4 linked regions of the Anolis sagrei genome follow. The main gene of each other region encodes a partner of the protein of the gene in region 3 in a complex. Links are inferred from orthologs where the notes say so. Each region holds a gene or a part of one and is shown on either strand. Other genes may lie near its edges.

Region 1 (7,519 bases), on a different chromosome or scaffold from region 3:
GAGTTGAAGTCTAAAATGCCTGGAGGCTAAAAGTTGGGAACCACTGGCTTACAAGGAAAAGTCCCTTGAGAGCTAGATGTGTTTATGACTGGGGGATATATTCTCAACATTTTCAGGTAACACTCCTGTTACTATTCCATTAAAGCACTGGTTCTTAACCTGTGGGTGACGGACCACCAGTAGGCTGCAAGGACGAAAATCTGGTCCACAAATCTCATTTTTTATTTATTTTACTTCTACTCCTTTCAGACTGCCTGCCACTCCTTTCCTGTTGCTGACCATGGCATGTGTTCTGTATCAGAAAGCAGAGCTGATGTGGTCTACCCAATGCAATTTTCTGAATCAGCACCACAAACCAAATCTAAAGTTGACCAAAAACTGATTCCTAACCCTTTTGGTAATAATGCTGGAGAGTGGTCCCTGGTCAAAAAAAAGTTGGGAACCACTGCATTAAACAGATGTGGTCCAATAATACCAGATGCGGAAATTGCTCCCCATACATTAATGAAATCATGTATTTCCATGTTACCCAGACCTTTTCAACACATGTTCAGTGTCTCTCACTTTCAAAGTGACTCCATGTCTAATGGAGATTCAGTAAAGATGCAGTCTACATAATTAATACCCATCTCCAAGTTTTAGTATCTAACTATATAATGTTAGAACAAGTGAGCAAATATAGACCTCCAGGTAAGTTGCACAAAGATATCTTTGGCCTCAAAGGCCCATCAGACCTACCCAGCAAAGCCACTAATGATGGATAATGGGAATAGCTGACCAAAAACATTTGGAGAGCCATAGTTGCACATCCAATATTAAGTAAGGGAGACAATCAGTGTGGTGCAGTGGTTTCAGTGCTAGACTTGAAGTGCAACTACACTGTAGAGCAGTGATCCTCAACCTGTGGGTCCCCAGGTGTTTTGGCCTACAATTCTCAGAAATTTAGGATTTCTGGGTGTTGAAGGCTAAAACATCTGGGGACCTCAAGTTGAGAACCACTGCGAGATAGAAATAAAGGTTATTATTATGATTTTACAATTATTATTACTAGATTTTAGTATATTGTATGAGCCCCCAGTGGCGCAGTGGGTTAAACCCCTGTGCCGGCAGGACTGAAGACCGACAGGTCGCAGGTTCGAATCCGGGGAGAGGCGGATGAGCTCCCTCTATCAGCTCCAGCTCCTCATGCGGGGACATGAGAGAAGCCTCCCACAAGGATAAAAACATCAAATCATACAGGCGTCCCCTGGGCAACGTCCTTGCAGACGGCCAATTCTCTCACACCAGAAGCGACTTGCAGTTTCTCAAGTCGCTCCTGATACAACAAAAAAATTATATTGTATTATTATTAATAATATTATTATTATACTGTATTACATGAATACGTGAAGACACATCATACTAGGTAGCAGGGTAAACTCATCAAGAAATATTAATTAAATCATTTCGTTTTAAAGTTGGATTTTAAGTAAAAGATGCTTGCTTGCTTGCATGCTGGTCGCTTCTGTGGCGAGAGAATCAGCCGTCTACGAAGACGTTGCCCAGGGGACGCCCGGATATCTTGCAATCCTGCGAGGAGGCTTCTCTCATGTCCCACAACCAGATACAGTGAAGACATCTGCCCTTATGCTATGCTACTCTGCTGCTGAGTATGCATGCCCAGTGTGGAACACATCTCACCATACTAAAACAGTGGATGTGGCTCTTAATGAGACATGCCGGATTATCTCAGGGTGTCTGCGCTCTACACCACTGGAGAAATTACACTGCTTAGCCGGTATTGCACCACCTGACATCTGCCGGGAAGTAGCAGCCAATAGTGAAAGGACCAAGGCAGAGACATCTCCAGCTCATCCCCTGTTTGGGTATCAGCCAGCACGCCAATGACTTAAATCTAGGCATAGTTTTCTAAGATCTACAGAGACACTCGCTGGAACACCTCAGCAAGCGAGAGTCCAAAAGTGGCAGGCTCAAACCCAGCACCTCAACCAATGGCTGATACCAAATGAGAGACTCCCTCCTGGGCACACAGAAGACTGGGTGACTTGGAAGGCGCTGAACAGACTGCGCTCTGGCACCACGAGATGCAGAGCCAACCTCAAGAAATGGGGCTACAAAGTGGAATCCACGACATGCGAGTGTGGAGAAGAGCAAACCACTGACTACTTGCTGCAATGCAACCTGAGCCCTGCCACATGCACAATGGAGGACCTACTTGCGGCAACACCAGAAGCACTCCAAGTGGCCAGATACTGGTCAAAGGACATTTAACCAACTACGAAACTCACAAGTTGTGTATTTTTCTGTTTATTTGCTTTGTTCGGTTAGAAATGTAACATAATGGACTGGTTGCTCTGACACGACAAAAAAAGTAAAAGATACACAAAGCTATGCCAAGCTTCCCAGAGCAGGCAGCCTCAAACTGGGGCCTTCCAACGCCCAGAAGCCCTTGCCAGCTTCTTCAATGGCCAGGAATTTTAGGAGTTGGAGGTGCAAACAGCTGGAAGGCCGCTGTTTGAGGAGGCCAGGCCTTAGGTTTCTGTCACGTGTCTGCCCAACTCTTGACACTCAGCTGGAGAAGTCCAGAGCTGACCAAATTGAGCTTTTGGTCTATAACCAGCTTTAAGAGTTTGAAAGACATGAAGTTGACTTTGTTTGGGAAAAAATGGCTCATGAGAAGCGGTTGAGGAAAGAATTCGGGACTCTCCGAATCACAAACCCGCCACTGCACGTCTGGACGCGCAAACACGTGTACACGGACCGCCCGCCCGCCGCTTTCCCCTTTCCCCCAAGGCCTCCCTCCCTCCTCCAGGCCTGCTTCCCGCCTTCCCCATTTGCTCACTCGTAGTCGCCCGTCGGCATGGCCGCCCCTGGAAGAAGAGCAAGCAGCAGGAAGGCGAGCTGAAGAGGAAGACTAGGCCTCACGAGAGGCAGGAAGCCGGCCTAAGCGTGACGCAGAGCCTCACGGGAGACGTAGTTTGCGTCACTGACGTGGTGGCCAAACCAAAATGCATGGCGGAGGCCTTTCGGCTCGCCGCGGTGCCTGCTGGGAAGACGCGATAGGGGTCGCTCCACTCCAACTTTTGGGCCTCCAATTCCCAGAAGCCCTCGCCAGCTTGTTCAATGCCCAGGAATGCTGGAAGTTGGAGGCCCAAAAGCTGCAAGGCCGCCTGTATTAGTGAGGTGAATTGCCGCCCCCAGTGGACACTTCAAGAATTGCATCCCTTGATAGAATTCTAGAGTTGGAAGAGACTTCATGGGCCATCCAGTCCAACCCCCTGCCAAGAAGCGGGAATGTTGCATTCAAAGCACCCCTCACAGATGGCCACCCAGCTTCTGTTTAAAAGCCTTCAAAAGGAGCCTCCACCACACTCCGGGGCAGAGAGTTCCACTGCTGAACGGCTCACAGTCAGGAATTATAAGAGTTGGAAGACTTCATGGGCCATCCAGTCCAACCCCCTGCCAAGAAGCGGGAATGTTGCATTCAAAGCACCCCTCACAGATGGCCACCCAGCCTCTGTTTAAAAGCCTCCAAAGAAGGAGCCTCCACCACACTCCGGGGCAGAGAGTTCCACTGCTGAATGGCTCTCACAATCAGGAAGTTCTTCTTCATGTTCAGATGGAATCTCCTTTCTTGTAGTTTGAAACCATTGTTCCGCGTCCTACTGTCAAACCCAGCTGGGGGCCCTTCCACACAGCCCTATATTCCAGAATATCAAGGCAGAAAATCCCACAATATCTGCTTTGAACTGTGTTATCTGAGTCCACGCTCAGAATCTAGTTGCTTTTTTGCATGTCCACCAAAGGTGAGAGAAGGATCCCACTTGTGAGTGCATTTCCAGCATTTGTCTGATGGATTCTTTTAACATTTCGCAAGTTTACTTGGTGTTATGTACCAACGGCACATCATCGTGTACCAATTTTCACGTAGGTCCTGAGAGTCTGTATATTTTATTTTAGAGTTCCATATGTTTTCCCTGAGGAATCTGTACAAGGACCAAGTAGCAACAGTCAGAACTGACCACGGAACAACAGACTGGTTCAAGATTGGGAAAGGCGTACGGCAAGGCTGCATCCTCTCACCCAACCTTTTTAACTTGTATGCAGAACACATCATGCGATGTGCGGGGCTGGATGAATGCAAAGCCGGGGTGAAAATTGCTGGAAGAAACATTAACAACCTCAGATATGCAGATGACACCACTCTGATGGCCGAAAGCGAGGAGGAGCTGAGGAGCCTTCTAATCAAGGTGAAAGAAGAAAGCGCAAAAGCCGGGTTGCAGCTAAACGTCAAAAAAACCAAGATTATGGCAACAAGAATGATTGACAACTGGAAAATAGAGGGAGAAACCGTGGAGGCTGTGACAGACTTTGTATTTCTAGGTGCAAAGATTACTGCAGATGCAGACTGTGGCCAGGAAATCAGAAGACGCTTCCTTCTTGGGAGGAGAGCAATGTCCAGTCTCGATAAAATAGTAAAGAGTAGAGAAATCAGACTGGCAACAAAGATCCGCCTAGTCAAAGCCATGGTATTCCCTGTAGTCACCTACGGATGTGAGAGCTGGACCTTAGGGAAGGCTGAGCGAAGGAAGATCGATGCTTTTGAGCTGTGGTGTTGGAGGAAAGTTCTGAGAGTGCCTTGGACTGCGAGAAGATCCAACCAGTCCATCCTCCAGGAAATAAAGCCTGACTGCTCACTGGAGGGAAAGATACTAGAGACAAAGTTGAAGTACTTTGGCCACATCATGAGGAGACAGGAAAGCCTAGAGAAGACAATTATGCTGGGGAAAGTGGAAGGCAAAAGGAAGAGGGGCCGACCAAGGGCAAGATGGATGGATGGCATCCTTGAAGTGACTGGACTGACCTTGAGGGAGCTGGGGGTGGTAACGGCCGACAGGGAGCTCTGGCGTGGGCTGGTCCATGAGGTCACGAAGAGTCGGAGACGACTGAACGAATGAACAACAACATGTTTTCCCATTCTGTTATTTGGATGTTGTGGCCGATGTTTTGTGCCCACCTCACCATGCACTCTTTTATTTGTTCTCTCTCGGTCGACCAAGTTAAGAGTATTTTGCGGATTTTGGAGATTAGTTTATTGTTCGAAGACAAAACCTTGTCCCATATTTTTTCCCCTTCTTCGAATCCACCTTTCTTGTCTTTGTTATTATTATTTGTCGTGTCAGGAGCGACTTGAGAAACTGCAAGTCGCTTCTGGTGTGAGAGAATTGGCCGTCTGCAAGGACATTGCCCAGAGGGACACCTGGATGATTTTTTGATTTTATCATCCTTGTGGGAGGCTTCTCTCATGGAGCTGATAGAGGGAGCTCATCTGCCTCTCCCCAGATTTGAACCTGCGACCAATCGGTCTTCAGTTCTGCCAGCACAGGGGTTTAAACCACTGCGCCACTGGGGGTTCCCGGTGTTTGTTAAATGCCTCCTTTAATTGAATATGAGATTTGTTACTGAACCCTGTGTCTCTTAAGAGGCCTGTGCAGCCTTCTCCTAGTGTAGCTCCTGCTCCCTCCCTCACTCCGTTCCCTTTCCCTCTCGCCTTCCTTGCCAGACCAATGCAAAAGGGGCTTGCTTGCTTCTTCGCTTCTTCTGTCCCTCCGTCCGTCCATCCCTCTCCCCCCCCCCCCGAGAAGGCTCTAAAGCAGTGCTTCTCAACCTGGGGGTCGGGACCCCTGAGGGGTCGCCAAAGACCATAAGAAAACACAGTATTATCTGATGGTCATGGGGATTCCATGTGGGAAGTTTGAGCCAATTCTATCGTTGGTGGAGTTCAGAATATTCCTTGATTGTAATGAACTATAAATTCCAGCAACTACAACTCCCAAATGTCAAGATCTATTTTCCCCAGACTCCACCAGTGTTCACATTTGGGCATATTGAGTAATCATGCGAAGTTTGGACCAGATCCATCATGGCATGAGTCCACAGTGTCTCTGGATATAGGTGAACTACAACTCCCAAACTCAAGGTCAATGCCCATCAAACCCTTCCAGTGTTTTCTGTTGGTCATGGGAGTCAAGTTTGGTTCAAATCCATCGCTGGTGGAGTTTAGAATGCTCTTTGATTATAAGTAAACTATAAATCCCAGCAACTACAACTCCCAAATTATAAAATCAATCCTCCCCCAACCCCACTAGCATTCACATTTGGGTGCATTGGGTATTTGTGCCCAGTGAATGAAAATGCACCCTGCATATCAGATACTTACATTATGATATATAACATTAGTAAAATGACTGTTATGAAGTAGCAACGAAAACAATATTATGGTTGGGGGTCACCACAACATGAGGGACTGTCTTAAGGGGTCACGGCATTAGGAAGGTTGAGAACCACTGCTCTAAAGGCTGCTTTTCAGAGCAGCTTTGCCAGGTTGTTCTGGCTTCTCAGCTTGGCTCCTGAAGCAGGGACAGCCAGCTGCTTTGCTACTGTGGCTGTTTGTTTCCCCTTCTTGTACAGGAGGGGGCAGGCCTAGGTTTTGCACATGCGTGGTAAGGTATTTTTTATTTTTAAAAGAATTTTAAAGCTATTTTCACTGTTTGGGGATTTTTTTTAATTGTGGTCATACCTTGCGGTATGAGACGTTTGGAGGCCAAAATTGATGTCAGTTGGCCCCATAGTTTGTCTGTGTTTAGCCTACTCAGGACGCACAGAAGCTTTTTTATATATTAAGATTATCATGATTCTTTATGGGTGGCAGATGGCAATTGATAGATGGCCTATGTTCTGTATCTGAAAAACTAGAGCTGATAGGGGAAAACTGGTATCATTTTTGGAATCAGCAGGTCAAATATACCCAGAAACAGAGCTAACATTTGAGGCACCAAAATGTGTGTTGGTCAGTGGAATTGAAGTGGTACTTAGGTCCCAGCACCAACATGAACACAAACCAGAGCCCAGAGATGGGACAGACATCTGAAGGAAGTCAGAAAGGGACCTTGAGATAATTTATAGGAGAGATTTATTTGAAGAAATATTACAACATATAAAAACTACATAAAGTATTAATTTCCACTTGTACAAAGTGGTTGATTAAATTTCAATACAATGTATCATAAAAACATCCTGAACCCCCCCTCCCCCCGACACACATACACACGCACACGCATGAAGTGGCAGGCACTGCACAATTTGATCACTTGGGAATGGTTATCTGGAACATCAAAACAGCGTCAGAATGTCAGCCGAGGAGACAAACACCGCTCACAAATACAGACTCTGAGAAAGAGCAAGACAGAGAGAGAGAACACACAAAAATCCTCCCCCTCCCGTCCCCAAAAACAAAGAGAGACCTCCAACAATTTTCAGCATGTCCAGAAGTATAAGAAAATAACCTGGAAATTAAAAAAGCAGAAGAAAATTCAAAATTATCAGTGCATGTTTGGGTGTTCAGGTGCGGTAACCAAGGTGCAGCAGATGACGAGCAATTTACAAATTAATCGGAAGTGTCCATTTTTTCCCGTTTGATGGTATCTGCGGAAAAATAAGATACAGCAGAAATATAAAT
Region 2 (7,678 bases), on a different chromosome or scaffold from region 3:
TACCAATAAATTCAACCACATTCAGTTAGATATACTACTGAATCCATGGTCTCCTCTCCTCTGCTCATCTCTGTAACCAGCACTAAATGCTTTCTAGAGTCTGGTACTTTCACCTAAAATAATCAAGTGAAGTAGTAATCCTTGCCACTATAACCCCTTTTGGCATAGGAATAAAATCACTTCCATTACACCCTTATAATTCCTGAAGAATTTCCTTTGCATCCAAAGATAACTATATACCAGAAGTTATTTTCGATTGCGTGAGGCTCCTATTGTGCTCACTGTGTTTTTGTTTCTCCTTACAACATACACTCTCCACTTTGAAATGGCATATTTCTGAGGTGGCTCTGATAGAAACAGTTGGATGTGATATCCTAATTTTTGGTTTGTCTAATGTAGTTTTAAAATACATATTTTTCCTTGAATACCTGTATTTACTTGAGTCTAATGTGCCATCGAATCTAATGCACACCTCAATTTTGAAAACCGTGAAACCAAAAAAGTATTTACTAGCAAATACAATGTGCAGCAGCAAAAGTTGCACTCTTTGCAATGTGCCTTTTACAGTTGTTACCTGCTTAGAATTCCTTCGTAAAAACCATTGTGTTAAAACATCAAGGCTTTCAACAATGGAAAAGAAACCTTGGTGTTCATGTATGGTGCAGAATGAATCCACTTTCACTGCCTTGGTTCAATGCTATGGGGTTATGGGGGCTGTAGTTTTACAAGGCCTTGAGCCTTCTCTGCCAAAAGAGTGCAGATGCCTCATCAAACTAAAAATCCCAGGACTGCATAGCATTGAGCTATGACAATGAAATTACAGATGACACCCCGCAAATAGAAGCTCCAGTTGCTCCTGAAGCAGCTTACCCTTTTGCTATGGCTCAGCAAGATTATCTTATTACGCGAATCTAATACACATCCTGATTTTGGCAAGGTAGTTTAGCTTTAAAAGGTGATTTGAGTAAATACAGTATGTACAGTTTTCCTGTAACAATGAGGAGGAGGAAGAATAGTTCAATAGCAGATGCCTCCATGGACTGCTGCATAGGACACATATTTGGGACATCATGCTGAGGCTGAAATTTAATTATTTATTTATTACATTTATATGCCGCTTTTCTCCCCCTAAGGGAACTCAAAGTGGTTTCCAACATTATAAAGGTAAAATTCAATGCCAAACATACATGTGAAAACCAAAAGATAATAGCAAGACGATAACATATAACTATAAATTAACCTAACCAAATTAAAAAATAAACATAAAATGACATTTAGACTTAAAGAATAAACAATTAAACATTGATAAAATAATAACATTTATATTAAAACCCACCAATAAACAACACGATTTTAAAAGTTATTAAAATCAAATCCATAATAGAGTCTGTAGCCGTTCCATTGGTCCATTCACTATTCCTTATCCCTTTCTGATGTACGTACAATTATTGTGATGTTTAATTGACTTCTTTCTTCCCATCCAACCCAAAGAGGAAATAAGAAAAATAAAAGACTGCACAATGGACCTTCATTATCCGCTCACCTTGCAGATTGTAGATCAGGATGAAGGGTTCCTACTGATACAAACTGTACAAAGGGAGGCTACATGGTGGGGACATGGACCATGATGTGAAATTGCCCCATTTACATTTAACCTATTTGAGTTTGACAATGATTGAGTGACACCCCAAAAAGGTGGCGCAGAACTGTGAAACTATAAAAGCAAATGTACTGTCACTGCTCAGGCTTCCTGAATTTCGGTAGCATCACTGGAGGTCCAGTTCTCTGTATTTTTTCTACTTCTTCTGATAGTTTTTCAGAATAAAACTTTCTTTCTGAGACTAATAAACACCTTGTTACTTTGCTGGCCGTGTTTCTACACTTGCACCTTTTAAGAGATTGGGGTGACAGCTGTACCCTACAAACTCTATCAGTTCTGAACCCTTTAATAAAATGTAACTATTTGATGGTTTCTATGTAAATTGTATCTTTCTTACTGTGTACTGTATCAGGAAAGCTAAGAGAAGACAATTATGCTGGGGAAAATGGAAGGAAAAAGGAAAAGGGGTTGACCAAGGGTAAGATGGATGGATGGCATCCTTGAAGTGACTGGCTTGACTCTGAAGGAGCTGGGGGAGGTGATGGCGACAGGGAGCTCTGGCGTGGGCTGGTCCATGAGGTCACAAAGAGTCAAAAACGACTGAACGAATGAACAACAAGAACTGTATCAATTTAGTATATGAAGTGTATAATCTGTTTGTTATACATATCAAAATGTAACATTTGCGTAATCTCTTGGGAAAGGGGACATTGGTCAAATCCCTCCCTTGACTGCGGTCCTAGCTGAAATCACTACACAATGGTATAGTAAAATAGTGAGGCAAAAATAGGTTTGCTTTTTGGAATTTTTCTCCCCAGATATTTTTGAGCTGTAGTTGGTGAAGCCCCACTGTATCAAAATCAGAAATTATAGTAAAATCAGAAATTTTAGAATACCAATGTTGTGGTCCCTTTGACTACGAATGGTCACTCCAGTGCAATTAGATGCGGCTGTACAATAATACATTGTGTTTCATTATATTGTTTTTTTGTTTACACTCAGGTTTACACTCAGGCTGAGAGGAGACATAATAGCTATGTATAAATATATGAAGGAAAATTATATGCAGGAGGGAACAAGCTTGTTTTCTGCTGCCTTGGAGACTAGGACGCAGAACAATGGCTTCAAACTACAGGAAAGGAGATTCCACCTGAACATGAGGAAGAACTTCCTGACTGTGAGAGCTGTTCAGCAGTGGAACTCTCTGCCCCGGAGTATAGTGGAGGCTCCTTCTTTGGAGGCGTTTAAACAGAGGCTGTATGGCCATCTGTGGGGGTGCTTTGAATGCGATTTTCCTGCTTTTTGGCAGGGGGTTAGAACTAGATGGCCCACGAGGTCTCTTCCAACTCAATGATTCTAGGTCCTTACTACACTAAACCATTATAGCACTATATTCTGCTTTAACTGCCATGGCAACACCCTATGCAATATTGGGGTTTGTAGTCTAATGAGGTCAGAGATCTTTCTGGTTGAGAAATCTAAATGCTTCTCCGTAAACTACAAATCCCTGGATTCCACAGGTTTTTTGTTGTTGTTGTTTTGTTTTTTTGTCATGTCAGGAGCGACGTGAGAAACTGCAAGTCGCTTCTGGTGTGAGAGAATTGGCCGTCTGCAAGGATGTTGCCCAGGGGACGCCCGGATGATTTGATGTTTTTATCATCCTTGTGAGAGGCTTCTCTCATGTCCCCGTGTGAGGAGCTGGAGCTGATAGAGGGGGCTCATCCGCCTCTCCCCAGATTCGAACCTGCGACCTGTCGGTCTTCAGTCCTGCCGGCACAGGGGTTTAACCCACTGCACCACCGGGGGCTCCATGATTCCACAGTAACCTGCTATTACAGTAAAATAATAGGATTGTAATGGTGCAGTACATAGGGGTGCTCTTACACTGTAGAATTAATGCAGTTTGACACCGCTTCCTGCCATAACTCAGTGCTATGGAATTCTGGGATTTGTAGTTTGGTAAGGCAGTTTGATGAGGCACCAATACTATTTGGCAGAGATAGCTAAAGACCTTGCACAACTACAACTCCCACAAATCCTTAGCCTTGATCTTAAGACAGCTTATTTATTTGTCGTGTCAGAGCAACCAGTCCATTATATTACATTTCTAACAGAACAAAGTAAACAAACAGACAAATACAAAACTTGTGAGTTTGGTAGTTGGTTAAATGTCCTTTGACCAGTATCTGGCCACTTGGAGTGCTTCCGGTGTTGCTGCAAGAAGGTCCTCCATTGTGCATGTGGCTGGGCTCAGGTTGCATTGCAGCAGGTGGTCAGTGGTTTGCTCTTCTCCACACTCACATGTCGAGGATTCCACTTGGTAGCCCCATTTCTGAAGGTCGGCTCTGCATCTCGTGGTGCCAGAACGCAGTGTCTTTAGCGCCTTCCAAGTCTCCCAGTCTTCTGTGTGCCCAGTAGGGAGTCTCTCATTGAGTATCAGCCATTGGTTGAGGTGCTGGGTTTGAGCCTGCTACTTTTGGACTCTCGCTTGCTGAGGTGTTCCAGCTAGTGTCTCTGTAGATCTTAGAAAACTATTTCTAGATTTAAGTCGTTGACGTGCTGGCTGATACCCAAACAGGTATAAGACAGCTAAAGTGGTATAAAACTACATTAACTTTACGGCATAGATGCACCTTTTGATCTATTCCATACACACACTTGCAGTATTTATTGTATTTCCTAGATTGTAAAGCAGCACACTGCCTTTAGTTGCAATAACACAAATTAAAATAGCCCAAAAGGCACCAGGTTGTCTGATCTTGGTAGCTAAGCAGGATCAGCCCTGGTTTGTAATTGGATGGAGGGAGGGGATCACTGACAAAAGGCAGGTGCTGTGGGGGGAAGAAACTAGCAAAACCATCTCTGAGAATCCCTTTCCTTTAAAAAAAAAAAGAGCTATAAAATTCATGGCGTTGTTGCCATAAATCCGCAGGCGATAGGCACTGAATGCAAATAACACAGAGAGAGAGAACCCAGCGTTTTTACGTCCCTGCCAGGCCTTTCCTTTCCTAACTCGGCTTTTGCGACAGTTTTGGCGTCGCGCTGGAGTGACGTGTCATGAGAGCCAGGGCCGCCGCGCCGGAAGCCGGGGAAGCCGTAAAGCGCAATCCTTGTGGAAGGTGGTTTATCTGTCGTCGGTGTTTTCGGGGCCGAATCCGCTGCCATCGGGGCCCACTGGGGTCCTAGAGGTGAGCGAGGCGGCCACGGGGGAGGACCGGGGAGCCTTCGCTCTCCTCCGGCGCCAGTATTTTTTCCCTCCGAGTCTTGGATTGTAGTCTTGCCGGGCCTCGAGGGAAGGGCGGCGGCTGCTGAATGGATTCGGCGGAGGGGGAAGGCCCATTTCAGCCCTGTTCCAGGCTCAACAGCAGGTATGGGCCAACTTGGGCCATCCAAGTGTTTTGGACTGCAACTCCCACCATTCCTAACAGTCTCAGGCCCCTTCCTCCCCTGAGGAAGCAAAAGGAAGGGGCCTGAGGCTGTTAGGAATGGTGGGAGTTGCAGTCCAAAACACTTGGATGGCCCAAGTTGGCCCATACCTGCTCTAGATACTCCCTTGGTCATTAAGGGTCATGTCACACTACACTATTATAGCACTACTATTCCACTTTTAACTGCCATGGCAACAGTCCTTGGCATTCTGGAGGTATAGTTTAGTGAGTCTCAAGAGCTGAGAACTATCCATGCGCCTCCCTAAACTGCAAATCCCAGGACTTTTTAGGATATCGCCATGGAATAATACCTGTGACGATGAATGTGTTGCCAAAAGCATAGTACAAAGTAGACATATTTGTATTGTGTTGGTATAATGTTTTATTTTGTACTGCTCTTTGTAAGAGCTTAGGCTCTTTAGAAAGTAGCATATTCTTAATTCTTTTTAAAAAGTAAAGGTTTTACCCTGACATTAAGTCCAGTCATATCCAACTCTGGGGGTTGGTGCTCATCTCCATTTCTAAGCTGAAGAGCCGGCGTTGTCCGTAGACACCTCCAGCATGACCGCATGGAGCAACATTACCTTCCCGACGGAGTGGTACCTATTGATCTACTCACATTTGCATGTTTTCAAACTGCTAGGTTGGCAGAAGCTGGGGCTGACAGTTGAAGCTCATGTCACTCCCCGGATTAGAACCTGCCACCTTTCGGTCAACATGTTTAGCAACTCAGTGGTTTAACCCACTGTGCCTCCGGGGGCACCCGGGTTTTTATTAAGTTATGTCCAAATATATTCTTAATAATCTTATTATATTAACTAGCACAATATTAGTATTATATTGTACTATACAGCTATACTGCAGTGTGATGGAGCCCTAGGTCTCTTTATCACATGCTCAAAAGGAATGAACACGTCATCACACTCATTTTGCAAAATGCTAGAAATGACAAAGAGAAATTAGGCATTTTTAGTATGTAATAGTATTGATCTATAAAACACATTTCTCATTCACACTGTCATTAAACAGGATAATAGTTATGCGGTGTTTAATCATATGTGGGATAGTTTGCATTATAGAATTATTTCAGAAACGGCATTGATTATTTGCCGTGTATATGTATATTGTGATCTGCTCTGAGTCCCCTTCGGGGTGAGGAGGGCGGAATATAAATACTGTAAATAAATAAATAAATGTATCTACGACATTTATATTCCGCCCTTCTCACCACAAAGGGACTCAGAGCAACTTATAAGTTATATGTACATACAATATATTGTATTATTAGCATAGCACAATATTAGTATTATATCTTACTATATTGTACTATACTTCTATGCTGCAATATTATTAGTAATTTTACATGTAATATATAATTATTGTTATTATATTGTATTATTAGTATTATATTGTATTACAGTATTATGATCAATATTATACGTACATACAATATATTATTAGCATACTATAATATAGAAGGACTTTTCTGTATGCCTGCTGACTGAAAAACCTTGCACTCCATTCCTCTTGCTTTTCTGCGTAGTTTCATGCAGTTCCAGGGCGACAGTGGCCACAGGAATGTGATTAAAATGATTTTGTATCCAGGACTATAATTGACATCTTAAGAAGATTTTAGTGATGCTTGTTAATAAGAAGGTTGGTTGTTATAGGGTAGCAGGAAAAAAAGATATACAGGACTTTAAGTGCTGACTCTGTGGTATTCAGTGCAGCTGAATGACTTGAAATTTTTCCTCAAAAAACACTTTTACCTAATTCTACATTCTCAATTCATGTGTCCAAAAATGAACAGTGGATCATGGATTGGATCTCATCAAAGAGCTGTGTTTAATAAACTTGTAGAAATTGAAGGAGGTGGTGTTTTTTAAAGAGTCTCTGAGAATGTAAAATTTTGTGCTGCTTGGTATTGGATTTGTTATTTCTGATACACATTCAGGATGTTGTTTATGCAGTCAGTTGTAAATCCTTCCTTGAAAGTGTAAGGTTGTGCTGATACTTTAAGCACTAACCTACAACCAATAAATAATAAAAATTTAGTATTATTTTTGTTCTTGGCATTGAATGTTTGCCATTTTTGTTATACTTTGGAAACCACCCAGAATCCCTTTAGGTAGAGAGGGCAGGTTATAAATATATTATTATTATTATTTCCTTTATACAAGTTGAGTATTCCTTATTAGGGACCAGAAGTGTTTGAGATTTCTGTTTCATCCACCTTTGGGAATAACTGTCTTTGCTTATATGTACATGATGTGATATCTTGAAGATGGGACCCAAGTCTAAACATGAAATTAATTTATGTTTCATATACACAATTGTGCACATAGTCTGAAGGTATTTTAAAAGATATTTTAGTCTGCTCCATGAAAACACCTTATCAGCTGATCTTAGTATTTCAAAATGCCTTTGTATTTTATAATTGTGAGAACATCATTTTCTACCTTTTCTTTTCTTTTTTTTACTAGAAATATAAAAGATGGCGAGGTTCATGATACCTGTGATCCAAGACAATCCATCAGGATGGGGTCCATGTGCTATCCCTGAGCAGTTCAAAGATATGCCTTATCAGCCCTTCAGCAAAGGAGATCGTCTGGGGAAGGTATGTTCACTTGTAGCTTTTTACAGAAGTTCA
Region 3 (6,828 bases):
TTCCAAAGATAGTTCTCCCAAGCAAAAAGATGTTCTTAACTGGTTCAATTTGTTCTATTTCCAAAACTTTAAATAAAAGTGCCATTTGTTTGGAGGGACATTATTTTGAAGCCTTTAAATTTTTACTTACTTAATTACTTACTTATTTGTCCATTTCTGTTTCGCTTCCCAGCCAACAAGACTCCTTGAGGTGATGGACAAATGAAAACCAATTAAAACAGAGGTCCCCAAACAATGGCCTGCAGGCCAGTTGCAACCCTCCACGGTCATTTGCCCAGAAGGTTGCCAGTTCGAAGCCCCAGATAGGCATGAGCACCCTACTGTCAGCCCAGTTCACTGTTTACCTAAGCAGTTTGAAAACAGCTTAGTGTTGTACATAGAGAAATTAGGTACCGCTAAAAAGTGGGGTAGGTATTACCATTAAAAGAAAAAGACACTATAAGAAGATCAGAAAATGCCTGGCGACCAAAAGCAAGGGAGGAAGGAAGTCCTAATGGTTCTTCGTCATATAAGATGGAGTGACAGCCCCCCCCCTCCCCCTGCTGGATTTGAGTACAACCTCCAAAGCCCCAAAAAGCCATACGTTGACACAACATACCTCCTTTCTGGTTGTCTCTGTCCTGTCTGTCCAAATGATATTGAATGTTTGCTGTGTATGTGTACTGCTATAAAATGGACTATTCTCCTCTCTCAAGCCCCCCCCCCCTTGTGGCCTCTGCCCAGGTAATAGAACAGTGTTGTTGTTCATTCATTCAGTCGACTCCGACTCTTCGTGACCTCATGGACCAGCCCACGCCAGAGCTCCCTGTCGGCCGTCACCACCCCCAGCTCCTTCAAGGTCAGTCCAGTCACTTCAAGGATGCCATCCATCCATCTTGCCCTTGGTCGGCCCCTCTTCCTTTTGCCTTCCACTTTCCCCAGCATAATTGTCTTCTCTAGGCTTTCCTGTCTCCTCATGATGTGACCAAAGTACTTCAACTTTGTCTGTAGTATCCTTCCCTCCAATGAGCAGCCGGGCTTTATTTCCTGGAGGATGGACTGGTTGGATCTTCTCGCAGTCCAAGGCACTCTCAGAACTTTCCTCCAACACCACAGCTCAAAAGCATCGATCTTCCTTCGCTCAGCCTTCCCTAAGGTCCAGCTCTCACATCCGTAGGTTACTACAGGGAATACCATGACTTTGACTAGGCGGATCTTTGTTGCCAGTGTGATGTCTCTACTCTTTACTATTTTAATAGAACAGTACCAAGTTGGAAATTTAGGCCCCTTCCACATAACTAAATACAATCCCACATTTTGTGCTTTGAACCAGGATATATGGCAGTGTATTGTACAAGTGTACAAGAATGATTGACAACTGGCAAATAGAGGGAGAAAACATGGAGGCAGTGACAGACTTTGTATTTCTAGGTGCAAAGATTACTGTAGACGCAGACTGCAGCCAGGAAATCAGAAGACGTTTACTTCTTGGGAGGAGACCAATGACCAATTTTGATAAAATAGTGAAGAGTAGAGACGTCACACTGGCAACCAAGATCCGCATAGTCAAAGCAATGGTATTCCCCGTAGTAACCTATGGATGTGAGAGCTGGACCATAGGGAAGGCTGAGCTAAGGAAGATAGATGCTTTTGAACTGTGGTGCTGGAGGAAAGTTCTGAGAGTGCCTTGGACTGCCAGAAGATCCAACCAGTCCATACTTATAAATAAATAAAGCCCGACTGTTCATTGGAGGGAAGGAGACAAAGTTGAAGTACTTTGGCAACATCATGAGGAGACAGGAAATCTTAGAGAAGACAATGATGCTGGGGAAAATGGAAGGAAAAAGGAAGAGGGGCCGACCAAGTGCAAGATGGATGGATAGCATCCTTGAAGTGACTGGCTTGACTCTGAAGGAGCTGGGGGAGGTGACGGCCGACAGGGCGCTCTGGCGTGGGCTGGTCCTTGAGGTCACTAAGAGTCAGAAGCGTTTGAACGAATGAACAACAATATGACAGTGTGGACTGATAGCTTTGAGCCCTTCCATATATCCCTTTATCCCAGAATATCAAGGCAGAAAATCCCACAATATCTGCTTTGGAATGGGTTATCTGAATCCACACTGCTATATATTCCAGTTCAAAGCAGATGTGGAATTTTATTCAGTTGTGTGGAAGGGGCCAGAAAATCCCACATTATCTGAGTGTGGACTCAAGATAACCCAGTTCAAAGCAGATACTGCGGGATTTTCTACCTTGATATTCTGGGTTACAGGGCTGTGTGGAAGGGCCCTGGGTTATCTGTGTCCAACTGCAAATGGAAGTTCCAATTATTTCCGGTTAAATATACAATTGTAATCAGTTAAAATATCTGGAGCCCTCAGTGGCGCAATGGGTTAAACCCCTGTGCCGGCAGGACTGAAGACCGACAGGTCGCAAGTTCAAATCCAGGGAGAGCGCGGATGAGCTCCCTCTAACAGCTCCAGCTCCTCATGCGGGGACATGAGAGAAGCCTCCCACAAGGATGGTAAAACATCAAAACATCTAGCCATCCCCTGGGCAACGTCCTTGCAGATGGCCAGTTCTCTCACACCAGAAACAATTTGAAGTTTCTCAAGTTGCTCCTAACATGACAAAAAAAAGTTAAAACAGCTGTGTTTTTACTAGAACTTCTATGGGATCTTGTGATTTCTAGTTCACTGAGACACCGAAACAGAGTTAGGGACTTTCCACACAGCCATATAACCCAAAATAGCTGCTTTGGAACTGCCATATCAGTTCATATCAGCCAGCAGCCCCTGGGTCTTAAAGGGAAAGATCAAAGAGTCCCTGGTGGGTGTGCAAAGTGCAGTATAGACTCATGTATAAGCCAGGCATGGGCAAACCTTGGCCCTCCAGGTGTTTTGGACTTCAACTCCCACATTTCCTAACAACCATGCCTGGCATAAGCCAACCTCATACATATGTTGGGGGTCAGGATCATGTATTTTCATTTGACCCATGGAAAAGTCAAGGAAAAGAGGGAGGGAGACGGTTAAGTCACCAATTGATGGAGGAACATACTATATGCCTGACCTCATCTACCTGGGGACAGGTGTTGGAGCAGAAATTATGCACTTTCATATGATAGGTTCTGGATAACAAGATAGGGTCTGGAGAACAAGCCCTATGAGGAGCGGCTTAAAGAGCTGGGCATGCTTAGCCCGAAGAAGAGAAGACTGAGAGGAGACATGATTGCCATGTATAAATATGTGAGGGGAAGTTATAGGAAGGAGGGAGCAAGCTTGTTTTCTGCTTCCCTGGAGGCTAGGACACAATGGAGCAATGGCTTCAAACTACAAGAAAGGAGATTCCATCTGAACATCAGGGATAACTTCCTGACTGTGAGAGCTGTTCAGAAGTGGAACTCTCTGCCCTGGAGTGCGGTAGAAGCTCCTTCTATGGAAGCTTTTAAGCAGAGGCTGGATGGCCATCTGTCGGGGGTGCTTTGAATGCAATTTTCCTTCTTCTTGGCAAAATGGGGTTGGACTGGATGGCCCACGAGGTCTCTTCCAACTCTAGGATTCTATATATTCCAATCCAAAGCAGATCTTGTGGGATTTTATTCAGCTGTGCCGAAGGAGCCAAGAAAACCGAAGCTACGAGCCAAACTAGAACTTCAACATCACCCTATGTTTTTCGAGCTGCGCGTGAAGAAGCCAGAAGTTTGATGTCACTCGGCTTCCGGTCTCTAGGACCAATGGAACGCTTCGGGAAAGCTAAGCCGATTTCCATAGGAGAGCGGTGTCACGTGACGGCCGCGCCGAGCCAATCAGAACCGGCGGAGAGGCGCGCGTGGCCCTTTCGCTGACAAGATGGCGGCGGTGGAGGCTGCTCCGGCTCTTCAGGGCGCTGCTACGCCTTCGCCCGCGGCTCCGGCGGCCGCTTCCCCGACCCCTTTGCCGGCGGCAGTGGCTGCCCCTCCGCCTGCAGCGCCTCCCACCCCAGCCCCCACTCCCCCGGCCCCGCTGGCTGCGCCCTTCCCCGGCGGGCGGGCGGTCCGGCTTCACCCGGTGGTGTTGGCCTCCATCGTGGACAGCTACGAGCGGCGCAACGAGGGCGCCGGGCGGGTCATCGGCACCCTCCTCGGTAAGGAGCGCGTGGGGATGTGTCGGAAGCACTGCCAGCGCCAGTTAGGCCGGGGAAAGGGCTCCAGGCAAGCAATTCTTCCAGGCCCAATTCATGTATACAGGCAGCCCCCGGGTTACAAACATCCGCCTTCCAAAGGACTCCTAGTTAAGAACGGGGGTGAGACAACAGGATGTGAGAGAAATCCACCCCTTGGAAGGGACATTATTATTTATTATTATTTATAGTATTTATAATCCGGGGACTCAGGGCAGAGTACTATGCACATATACATGGCAAACATTTGATGCCATTTAGACATACAACATCTATAGACAGACACAGAGGCAATTTAACATTCCAACTTTTCCGGCTTCATTAAGGCAGGCTTGGTTCTGGTCACAGGGGAAGCTGCTGTTTCACTGTCCACTTGTGACAAAGGGTCCTTTGGAGAACCCCCCCAGTGGTGCAGTGGGTTAAACCCCTGTGCCGGCAGGACTGAAGACTGACAGGTCGCAGGTTCAAATCCGGGGAGAGGCGGACGAGCTCCCTCTATCAACTCCAGCTCCTCATGCGGGGATGTGAGGGAAGTCTCCCACAAGGATGATAAAAACATCAAATCATCCAGGCGTCCCCTGGGCAACGTCCTTGCAGAGGGCCAATTCTCTCAAACCAGAAGTGACTTGCAGTTTCTCAAGTCACTCCTGACACGACAAAAAAAAGGGTCCTTTGATGTAGTACTTCCTCATTCTTCTGCATGTTGCTGGAAGGTTTTATGGCATCGTAAATTAGTTAAATTCGCCTCCCCACATTAAGCGGTACCTAAATTTCCTACTTGACAGATGCAACTGTCTTTTGAGCTGCATAGGCCAACAGCATGCTAACAGTCAGTACCTTACCCGGGCTGGCTTTGAACTCATAATGTTCCACTTGAACATTAAGAACTTCCCGAGTGTGAGAGCCATTCAGCAGTGGAGCTCTCTGCCCCAGAGTGTGGCGGAGGCTCCTTCTTTGGAAGCTTTTAAACAGAGGCTAGATGGCCATCTGTTGGGGGTGCTTTGAATGCAATTTTCCTGCTGCTTGGCAGGGGGTTGGACTGGCTGGCCCAACTCTATGATTCTATGATTCTATCTCAGTAGTGATTTAATGCAGCTGGTTACTAACTAGCTGCGTCACAGCCCGATCCTCATGGGGACATTCACTCTCTCTCACGCCATGAATGCTTTATCATGAATCCTTGTTTTCACAACAAGCCAAATCTTTCAAAATCCAATTATTACAGGGAAAGTAATAACAATAATTCTCTATTTCTAGATCACCCTCTCTCCCCATGGGGACTCAGGGCAGTTTACATACATGTAAAAGGCATACATTCAATGCCATCATAAAAATCACACAACACTAAAAATGCAAAATAAACAGTAAAATACTTATTGAGGTTAAAAGTGAGGTTAAATCTCAATAGGGGCACAGACAACAAAACAAACAACTACAGGGGTGTTCACTTCCTTGTGCTATCCAAACTCATATATGGGTTCCTGGCGATGCCCAGGATATTTGAAATAAAAACAAAACATTTGTTTGGTTTTGAATGTTAGGTAATATCATTGAGGTAATTTGTAACACTATTTATTAGGGAAAGTGTGTTTTTTATTCATGTTCCCATTAGAAAATGCATAAGGATGTGGGTGAACTACAACTCCCAAAATTGTGGGTCAGTCCTTCCCAAACTCTGCCAGTATTCAAAGTTGCCTGTGTTAGGTATGTGCACCAAGTTTAGTCCAGATCTATCGTTGGCTGGGTTCAGTGCTCTTGGGTGCGGGTGAATTACATCTCCCAGAATTCAAGGTTAATAAGCCCCAAACCCCTTCAGTATGGAGGTCACAGTTCCTCTGGATGTGGGTGAACGACAACTCTCTGAAATCAAGGTCAGTTTTCCCCAGTCCCCTCCAGTATCTTCAGTTGGTCATGGACTGGGGTCTCTTCAACGTTTGGTCCAGGTCCATTATTTGTTGGGGTCACAGTGGTTTGTGGAAGTGGATGATAGTATTGCAACTCCCATCACCCACGGTCCATTCTCCCCCAAACATCATCAGCACATAAAATGGGTCACAGGGGGTCTGCCAAGTTTGCGCCAGGTCCCTCATTCATGGGGGTTGCATTTATCTGCAGAAGTGGCAGCTGAAGTGGGTAAAGGTACTGCAAATCCCATCATCCATGGTCCATCCTCCTCTAAACTACACCAGAACATAAAGTGGGTTGCAGGGGTTCTGTGTGCCAAATTTTGTCCAGGTCCGTCATTTGTGGGTGTTGCAGTGGTCTGTGGAAGTCAGAGCTCCGGCCAGAAAAATACATTGCCACCCACATGCAAACAAAGAAGTGGAGTTACATTTTTAAAATGTACCTGTTCCGGCCTACAAACAAATTCAACTTAAGAACAAACCTGCAGAACTCTCCTTGTATCTATATATTTTTATTTGTATACATAATAAAAGTGAAACTGTTTGTACCCATATTTCCTCAAATGTAATGCTCCATCAAATTTAATGTGCACCTCTGTTTTCAAAATCCTGAAACCAAAAAAAATAAATATTTGTTCCCTCATGTAATGTACAGCCACAAAAAAGTGTGCTCTTTGCCATTTGGATAACAAAGGTGTGCATTACTGTTGCTTCCTTATTAGAATTCCTTAATTATAAACAATTGTGTTAGAACACTGAAGCGTCTAGCAATGGAAAGGAAAAC
Region 4 (7,243 bases), on a different chromosome or scaffold from region 3:
CAGGCATTGATCTCTGCCTTCACTTTCCATCTGCTCAATGCTCCTATCTTGTGATTGCAAAGCATGCACTGTTGGTTGTTTCAGTCATAGGCTGGCATGTTTGCTAAGTGTATGCTAAGCCCACTAATAACACTATGTGACAAAATTTTAATATTTTTTTTTTGTTTCTGGTTTGAATGCATTACTCCCTGATTAATTGTGCAGTCTTTACTTTGAAAGTAGTTGTTCTACACCAGAACTTTGTTTTTGTGGCTGCCACAAACTAGGCTGAATTGGTTGAGATATTTATGGGGAAATTAGACCCAAATGTGCTGCTGCAGGGTGCCTTCCCACAAAAACAAATTTTTCACAGTTTAATAAACTTTTCTCATGCTTTTAATGATAGAACCAATTAGGAGATGACATAATCCAGGAACAAAAATCACGTTACACAGTGAACCATACTAAATAATAATATTCATAGTAAATCATAATCATACTAAATAATAATAAATAGCAATAATAAATTAATACATTGATAACCCAGGAATAAAAACCATGTTTGTGTTACATAGTGAATCATATCAAATATTAATAATATTTAATAATAATAATAATAATAATAAATATTGCAAAAGCTCTGGCATAAACCAGTCCAGGGGGTCCCAGTGGTGATCGGCACACTGGGTGCCGTGCAAAAAGATCTCAGCCAGCTTTTGGAAACAATAAACATTGACAAAATCATCTGTCAACTGCAAAACACCACCTTACTTGGATCTGCGCGCCTAATTCGGAAATACATCACACAGTCCTAGACGCTTGGAAAGTGTTCGACTTGTGATTTTTTGATACAAAATCCAGCATATAGATCTTGTTTACTGTGACATACTGTGGCTTTGTGTCAGTAAAATAAAAATAAAAATATAATAATAATAAATCAATAACATTGATAACCCAGGAACAAAAATCGTGTTGCACCTAGTGAATCATGCCAAATAATAACAATAGTCACAATAATAAAATAATCACACTAATTAATAATAATCATAAAAATAATAAATACTAAATAATTAATAATATTAATTAATGATATTGATAACTCAGGAACAAAAATTGTGTTACATATTGAATCATACAAAATAATAATAGCCACAATAATAATCATAATAAATTAATCATATTAAATAATAATAAATACTAAATAAATAATTAGTAATAATTATTAATGACTTTGCTTACTTACTTACTTAGGCGATCCCTCATTGGACGAGTAAGATGGTTTTCCATTATGGGTTTCCTTGTGGATTTGTAGGTGGCTTTGGAGCCCTGTTTTTGACCCGCATCTTCTCCCACAGTGACTTTGTAATGACTTTGACAACCCAGGGAAAAAATGTGTTTATGTTACATAGTAAATCATATTAAATAATAATAACAATACCAAATAAATAAATAATAATAATGGCATTGATAACCCAGGAATACAAATCATGTTACATAGTGAATCATACTAAATAATAATAATATTTTTCCATAAATATGTTTAAGTCTCCTCTTGGGGTGAGAAAAACGGTATACAGGTGAAGTAAATAATAATAAAAAAATATATAATAAGTGGTTTGTGGTTTGCTCTTTACTTTGTAACTTGGGGCCCGCCTGTTTGTGGTTTGCTCTTTATTTTGACTATAATAATAGTCAAAATAGTAATAAAATAATCATACTAAATAATATTAAATAAAAATTAACAATAATAATTAGTGCCATTGATAGTTCTTTCTCCCACACTGGACATTATGCAGATAGATAAACCTCACTTGTCTAGTTTCCAACAGACTTCACCACCTTTGAAGATGCCTGATATAGATGTAGACGAAACGTCAGGAAAAAATGATTCTGGAACATTGCCAGACAGCCCGGAAAACTCACAGCAACCCTTTACTAGAGAAGGCCTGAAGAAGATTGTCATTTCCAACTTGTATGGTCTTCTTCTCAGTGAGCACAGACCATATTATCATCGGCATATTGGAGTTCTATAACAGATACTGCTGTGTCCTCGGTTTTTGCTTTCAGTCTACTGCTGAGGCTAACTTACTTACTTACTTACTTAGGCGATCCCTCGTCATCCGAGCAGGATAATCCTCCAGGGTGACTATGGAGCCCTATTCTTGATCTGCATCGTCTCCCACAGCGAGGGCATTGGTTTCCAGGTGGAAGGCGATCCCAGTTGGGGTTTGCTTGACGCGCCTTCCTCTTGGCACATTTCTCTCTTTTGCCCTCCATTCATGCCTCTTCAAATTCTACAGCACTGCTGGTCACAGCTGACCTCCAGCTGGAGCGCTCAAGGGCCAGGGCTTCCCGGTTTTCAGTGTCTATGCCAGAGTTTGTAAGGTTAGATTAGAGCCCATTTATACATCTCTTTTCCTGTCCACCAACATTCTTGAGTTCGGAGAAGAGAAACAGCTTTGGGAGACGGTGGTCGGGCATCCAAACAACTTGACGGGTCCAGCAGAGTGGATGGCGGAGGACCATGGCTTCAATGCTGGTGGTCTTTGGGTTGTTGTAGGTTTTTTGAGCTATATGGCCATGTTCTAGAGGCCTTCTCTCCTGATATTTTGCCTGCATCTATGGCAAGCATCCTCAAAGGTAGTAAGGATGCTTGCCACAGATGCAGGTGAAACGTCAGGAGAGAATGCTTCTAGAACATGTCCATATAGCCCAATAAAAACCTACAACAACCCAGTGATTCCGGCCATGAAAGCCTTCGGCAATACTAGTGGCCTTTGCTTCTTCTAGCACGCTGACATTGTCCACTTGTCTTCCCAAGAGATTTGCAGGATTTTCCGGAGGCAGCGCTGATGGAATCGTTCCAGGAGCTGCATGTGACGCCTGTAGACAATCCACGTCTCGCAGGCATATAGCTGGGTTGGGAGGACAATAGCTTTATAAACAAGCATCTTGGTATCCCTACGGATGTCCCGGTCCTCAAACACTCTCTGCTTCATTTGCAAAAATGCTGCACTCGCAGAGCTCAGGCAGTGTTGCATTTCATTGTCAATGTTATTTTTTTTATTTATCGTGTCAGGGGCAACCAGACAATTGTATTACATTTCTAACAGAACAAAACAAACAAACAGACAAAATACAAAATTTGCGAGTTTGGTAGTTGATTAAATGTCCTTTGACCAGTATCTGGCCACTTGGAGTGCTTCTGGTGTTGCCGCAAGAAGGTCCTCCATTGTACATGTGGCAGGGCTTAGGGTGTATTGCAGCAGGTGGTCAGTGGTTTGCTCTTCTCCACACTCGCATGTCGTGGACTCCACTTTGTGGGCCCATTTCTTGTGGTTGGCTCTGCATCTTGTGGTGCCAGAGCGCAGTCTGTTCAGTGCCTTCCAAGTTGCCCAGTCTTCTGTGTTCTCAGGAGGGAGTCTCTCATTTGGTATCAGCCACTGGTTGAGGTTCTGGGTTTGAGCCTGCCACTTTTGGACTCTGGCTTGCTGAGGTGTTCCAGCGAGTGTCTCTGTAGATCTTAGAAAACTATTTCTTGATTTAAGTCATTGACGTGCTGGTTGATACCCAAACAGTGGATGAGCTGGAGACGTCTCTGCCTTGGTCCTTTCACTATTGGCTGCTACTCCCCAGCGGATGTCAGGTAGTGTGATACCGGCTAAGCAGTGTAATTTCTCCAGTGGTGTGGGGCGCAGACACCCCGTGATAATGCGGCATGTCTCATTAAGAGCCACATCCACTGTTTTAGTGTGGTGAGATGTGTCCCACACTGGGCATGCATACTCAGCAGCAGAGTAGCATAGCGCAAGGAGAGATGTCTTCACTGTGTCTGGTTGTGATCCCTAGGTTGTGCCAGTCAGCTTTCGTATATTGTTTCTAGTGCCCACTTTTTGCTTGAAGTGCAGGTAGTGCTTCTTGTAGGTCAGCGCACGGTCCAGAGTGACTCCCAGGTATCTGGGTGCGCTGCAATGGTCCAGTGGGATTCCTTTCCAGGTGATCCTCAGAGCTCAGGATGCTTGTCTGTTCTTGAGATGAAAGGCAGATGTCTGTGTTTTGGATGGGTTGGGGATCAGTTGGTTTTCCCTGTAATAGGCAGTAAGAGCACCCAGAGCTTCGGAAAGCTTCTGTTCAACCATCTCAAAGCTCCCAATCTCGTTGTTGCTCTGGGTAGGCTGGAGGGGGCGTGGCTTTGTTTGAAGGGGCGTGGTTTGTTAAGGCCCCGCCCTCTCTCGGCGTATTCCTTTTCCTCCCGGCATCCCCCGCGCGGGCGTCTGGCTCTTCCTCTTCCGGCCTTGGCCGCGAGTGCCTGACGGGCCTGAGGCAGAACCAAGATGGCGGCGGTGGCGGATTCCTGGGGTGAGTGTGGCCGGGAAGGCAGGCCTGGAGGTGGGAAGGAAGGGCCTCTTTTTCGCCCCCTGCTGACACCCTCTCCCTTCTCCGGCGCAGACTCCTTCGAGACGACGGCGGCGGAGGCGGAGGAGGACGGGCGGCACCAGGCCCGGCTGCCCACGCCCTCCGTGGCGGCGGCGGGAGACCGGTGGGCCGGGGAGGACGAGGACGAGGATGTCAAGGTGGGAAAGGCCTCGCTCTGCTTCTCTTCCCTCCTTTTTTCACCAAGTTACGAACAAGGAGGGCTCTGTAGCAGACCTGGGCCAACTTGGGCCCTCCCTCCAGCTGTTTTGGACTCCAACTCCCATACTTCCTCACACCCTCAGGCCCATTCCTATCCCTTCCTCAGCCGCTGAAGTAAAGAGCAAACCACTTATTATATAAATTACTAGCCGTCCCCTTGCCAGGCGTTGCTGTGGCCCAGTCTGGTGATCTGGAAAATACAGTAATGAGAAAGTGTTGGTTTCTAATATATGTAATTTCTTTATGTTTCTGGGTAAACAATATTTCTTGCTGTTTCTTTGTCAGTGTTGACATGGAGATTATTATTATTTAATTATTATTATTAAACTTTATTTGTACCCCGCTAGCATCTCCCGAAGGATTCGATGCGGCTTACAGAACACACAACACAACAATACAATCTAAGCAAATAAAACAAATTAAAAACAGAATAAAGCAAAAAAAAAAAAAACACCAAATCAGCAGGCACAATACACTAAAACACGATAAAACTGGGCCGGTCCAGAGAATGGGTACAAAGATTAAAAGTGCTGATGTGACAGGAGGTGTATATAGGGCTTCCAGGGCAAGTGCGATGTGCGATGTGCAGCAATCATTGGTTCTGATAAAGTGCTCTTGGGACTTGGTATTGGAGATTTCCTAATCTGGGAAGGCGCATCGGAAAAGCCAGGTCTTCAAGTTCTTTCTGAAGACAGCCAATGAAGGGGCCTGTCTAAGGTCTTTGGGGTGGGTGTTCCAGAGTCAGGGGGCCACCACGGAAAAGGCCCTGTCCCGCGTCCCCACCAAGCGCGCTTGCGACGCCGGTGGGATCACGAGCAGGGCCTCTCCAGATGACCGAAGTGAACGTGTGGGTTCGTAGATGGATATGCGGTCACGCAGGTAGATTGTCTGGTTTGCCTACTCTGGAACATGCAACTTATAATTGTCCTTCTTTGGGGGTCCCTTTCAAACCTATGATACTATATCTGTGTTTGTGTGAATCATATCTATCTATCTAAATCTATGGCTGGATGGCTCTTTGTCAGGAGGACTTTGATTACGTTTTGCCCTAGTGAAGGGAGTTGGACTGAATGGCCCTAAGTATTTTCTGTTGGTCATGGGGGTTCTGTGTGGGAAGTTTGCCCCAATTCTGTCATTGGTGGGGTTCAGAATGCTCTTTGATTGTAGGTGAACTATAAATCCCAGTAACTACAACTCCCAAATGTCGAGGTGTATTTCCCCCGAAACCCCATCTGTGTTCATATTTGGCCATATGGAGTGTTCATGCCAAGTTTGGTCCAGGTCCATCATTTTTTGGGTCCACAGTGGTCTCTGGATGTAGGTGAACTACAACTCCCAAACTCAAGGTCAATGCCCATCAATCCCTTCCAGTGTTTTCTGTTGGTCATGGGAGTCCTGTGTGCCAAGTTTAGTTCAGTTCCATTATTGGTGGAATTCAGAAATCTTTTTGATTGTAGGTGAACTGTAAATCCCAGCAACTACTACTCCCAAATGACAAAATTAATTTTTGAGTGATGGTTACTCCTTGGGTTAGTAGGTGTCTTGTGGCCAAATTTGGTGGTAATTCGTCCAGTTAAAAAAATTTCTCATGTCAGGAACGACTTGAGGAACTGTAAGTCGCTTCTGGTGTGTGAGAGAGAATTTGGCCGCCTGCAAGAACATTGCCCAGGGGACAGCCGGATGTTTTACCATCCTTGTGGGAGGCATCTCTCATGTCTCCGCATGGGAAGCTAGAGCCGACAGACGGGAGCTCACCCCACTCCCCATATTCGAACTGCCTACCTTTCAGTCAACGTGGATGAGCTCACTCTGTCAGCTTCAGCTCCCCGTGGGGGGACATTTATTTATTATTTATTTATTTATTAACTTTATTTGTACCCCGCTAGCATCTCCCGGAGGACTCAATGCGGCTTACACAGGCCGAAGCCTCAAAACACAATACAGTAAAACAAACACAACAGTAGAAAACATAGCAAATCAATAAGTTAAGCAAGCAATAACGACAATAACAATACATCATGACACTTTAAAACTGGGCCGGCCAGCGCAATGGGGTACAGGGTTAAAAGTGCTAGAGTGGTAGGAGGAGCATGGGAATAAAATAGTACGGTGTGCATTAATGTTAATTGTGCTAAAGTGCTTCTAGGACTTGGGTGGGGATTCCTAATCTGAGAAGGCACATCGGAACAGCCAAGTTTTTAGGTTCTTTCTGAAAGCTGCTAAAGTAGGGGCCTGGCGAAGATCTTTTGGAAGGGCATTCCAAAATCGGGGGGCCGCCACAGAGAAGGCCCTGTCTCGTGACATGGGAGAAGCCTCCCACAAGGATGGTAAAACATCAAAACATCCTGGCGTCCCCTGGGCAACGTCCTTGCAGACAACCAATTCTTTCACACCAGAAACGACTTGCAGTTTCTCAAGTTGCTCCTGACACGGCAAAAAAAAAACAAAAACCCATGTTCCTTCTCATGAAAAAAAAAAAAGCGGAAGCTGGAGCTGACATCACCAGGGCCTCCCAACCACTTGCTACAATGCAGTCTGAGTCCTACCATATGCACCCTCTCACAGCGACACCAGTGGCCAGCTTCTTGTCAAAGGTCATTTAGCATCATGCCAAGTTTTGTGGTCATTT

What was found.
Region 1: EIF3F (region 3) and EIF3G share a complex: the UniProt entries of both Homo sapiens proteins name them as parts of the eukaryotic translation initiation factor 3 (eIF-3) complex. The link is inferred for Anolis sagrei from reciprocal best matches to the Homo sapiens genes EIF3F and EIF3G.
Region 2: EIF3F (region 3) and EIF3D share a complex: the UniProt entries of both Homo sapiens proteins name them as parts of the eukaryotic translation initiation factor 3 (eIF-3) complex. The link is inferred for Anolis sagrei from reciprocal best matches to the Homo sapiens genes EIF3F and EIF3D.
Region 4: EIF3F (region 3) and EIF3J share a complex: the UniProt entries of both Homo sapiens proteins name them as parts of the eukaryotic translation initiation factor 3 (eIF-3) complex. The link is inferred for Anolis sagrei from reciprocal best matches to the Homo sapiens genes EIF3F and EIF3J.

What each region holds. Positions count from the first base shown.
Region 1 is NC_090022.1:172,118,355-172,125,873, reverse strand, and holds the start of EIF3G (eukaryotic translation initiation factor 3 subunit G), read right to left. Parts: upstream 3,006-7,519; 5' UTR 2,863-3,005; coding exon 2,843-2,862; intron 1-2,842. Other genes in the region: DNMT1 (DNA (cytosine-5)-methyltransferase 1), read right to left, coding at 7,448-7,485. UniProt on the Homo sapiens protein: RNA-binding component of the eukaryotic translation initiation factor 3 (eIF-3) complex, which is required for several steps in the initiation of protein synthesis.
Region 2 is NC_090025.1:166,603,579-166,611,256, forward strand, and holds the start of EIF3D (eukaryotic translation initiation factor 3 subunit D), read left to right. Parts: upstream 1-4,663; 5' UTR 4,664-4,788; intron 4,789-7,511; 5' UTR 7,512-7,522; coding exon 7,523-7,645; intron 7,646-7,678. UniProt on the Homo sapiens protein: mRNA cap-binding component of the eukaryotic translation initiation factor 3 (eIF-3) complex, a complex required for several steps in the initiation of protein synthesis of a specialized repertoire of mRNAs.
Region 3 is NC_090023.1:147,514,796-147,521,623, forward strand, and holds the start of EIF3F (eukaryotic translation initiation factor 3 subunit F), read left to right. Parts: upstream 1-3,811; 5' UTR 3,812-3,830; coding exon 3,831-4,104; intron 4,105-6,828. UniProt on the Homo sapiens protein: Component of the eukaryotic translation initiation factor 3 (eIF-3) complex, which is required for several steps in the initiation of protein synthesis.
Region 4 is NC_090029.1:23,332,155-23,339,397, forward strand, and holds the start of EIF3J (eukaryotic translation initiation factor 3 subunit J), read left to right. Parts: upstream 1-4,239; 5' UTR 4,240-4,313; coding exon 4,314-4,338; intron 4,339-4,428; coding exon 4,429-4,553; intron 4,554-7,243. UniProt on the Homo sapiens protein: Component of the eukaryotic translation initiation factor 3 (eIF-3) complex, which is required for several steps in the initiation of protein synthesis.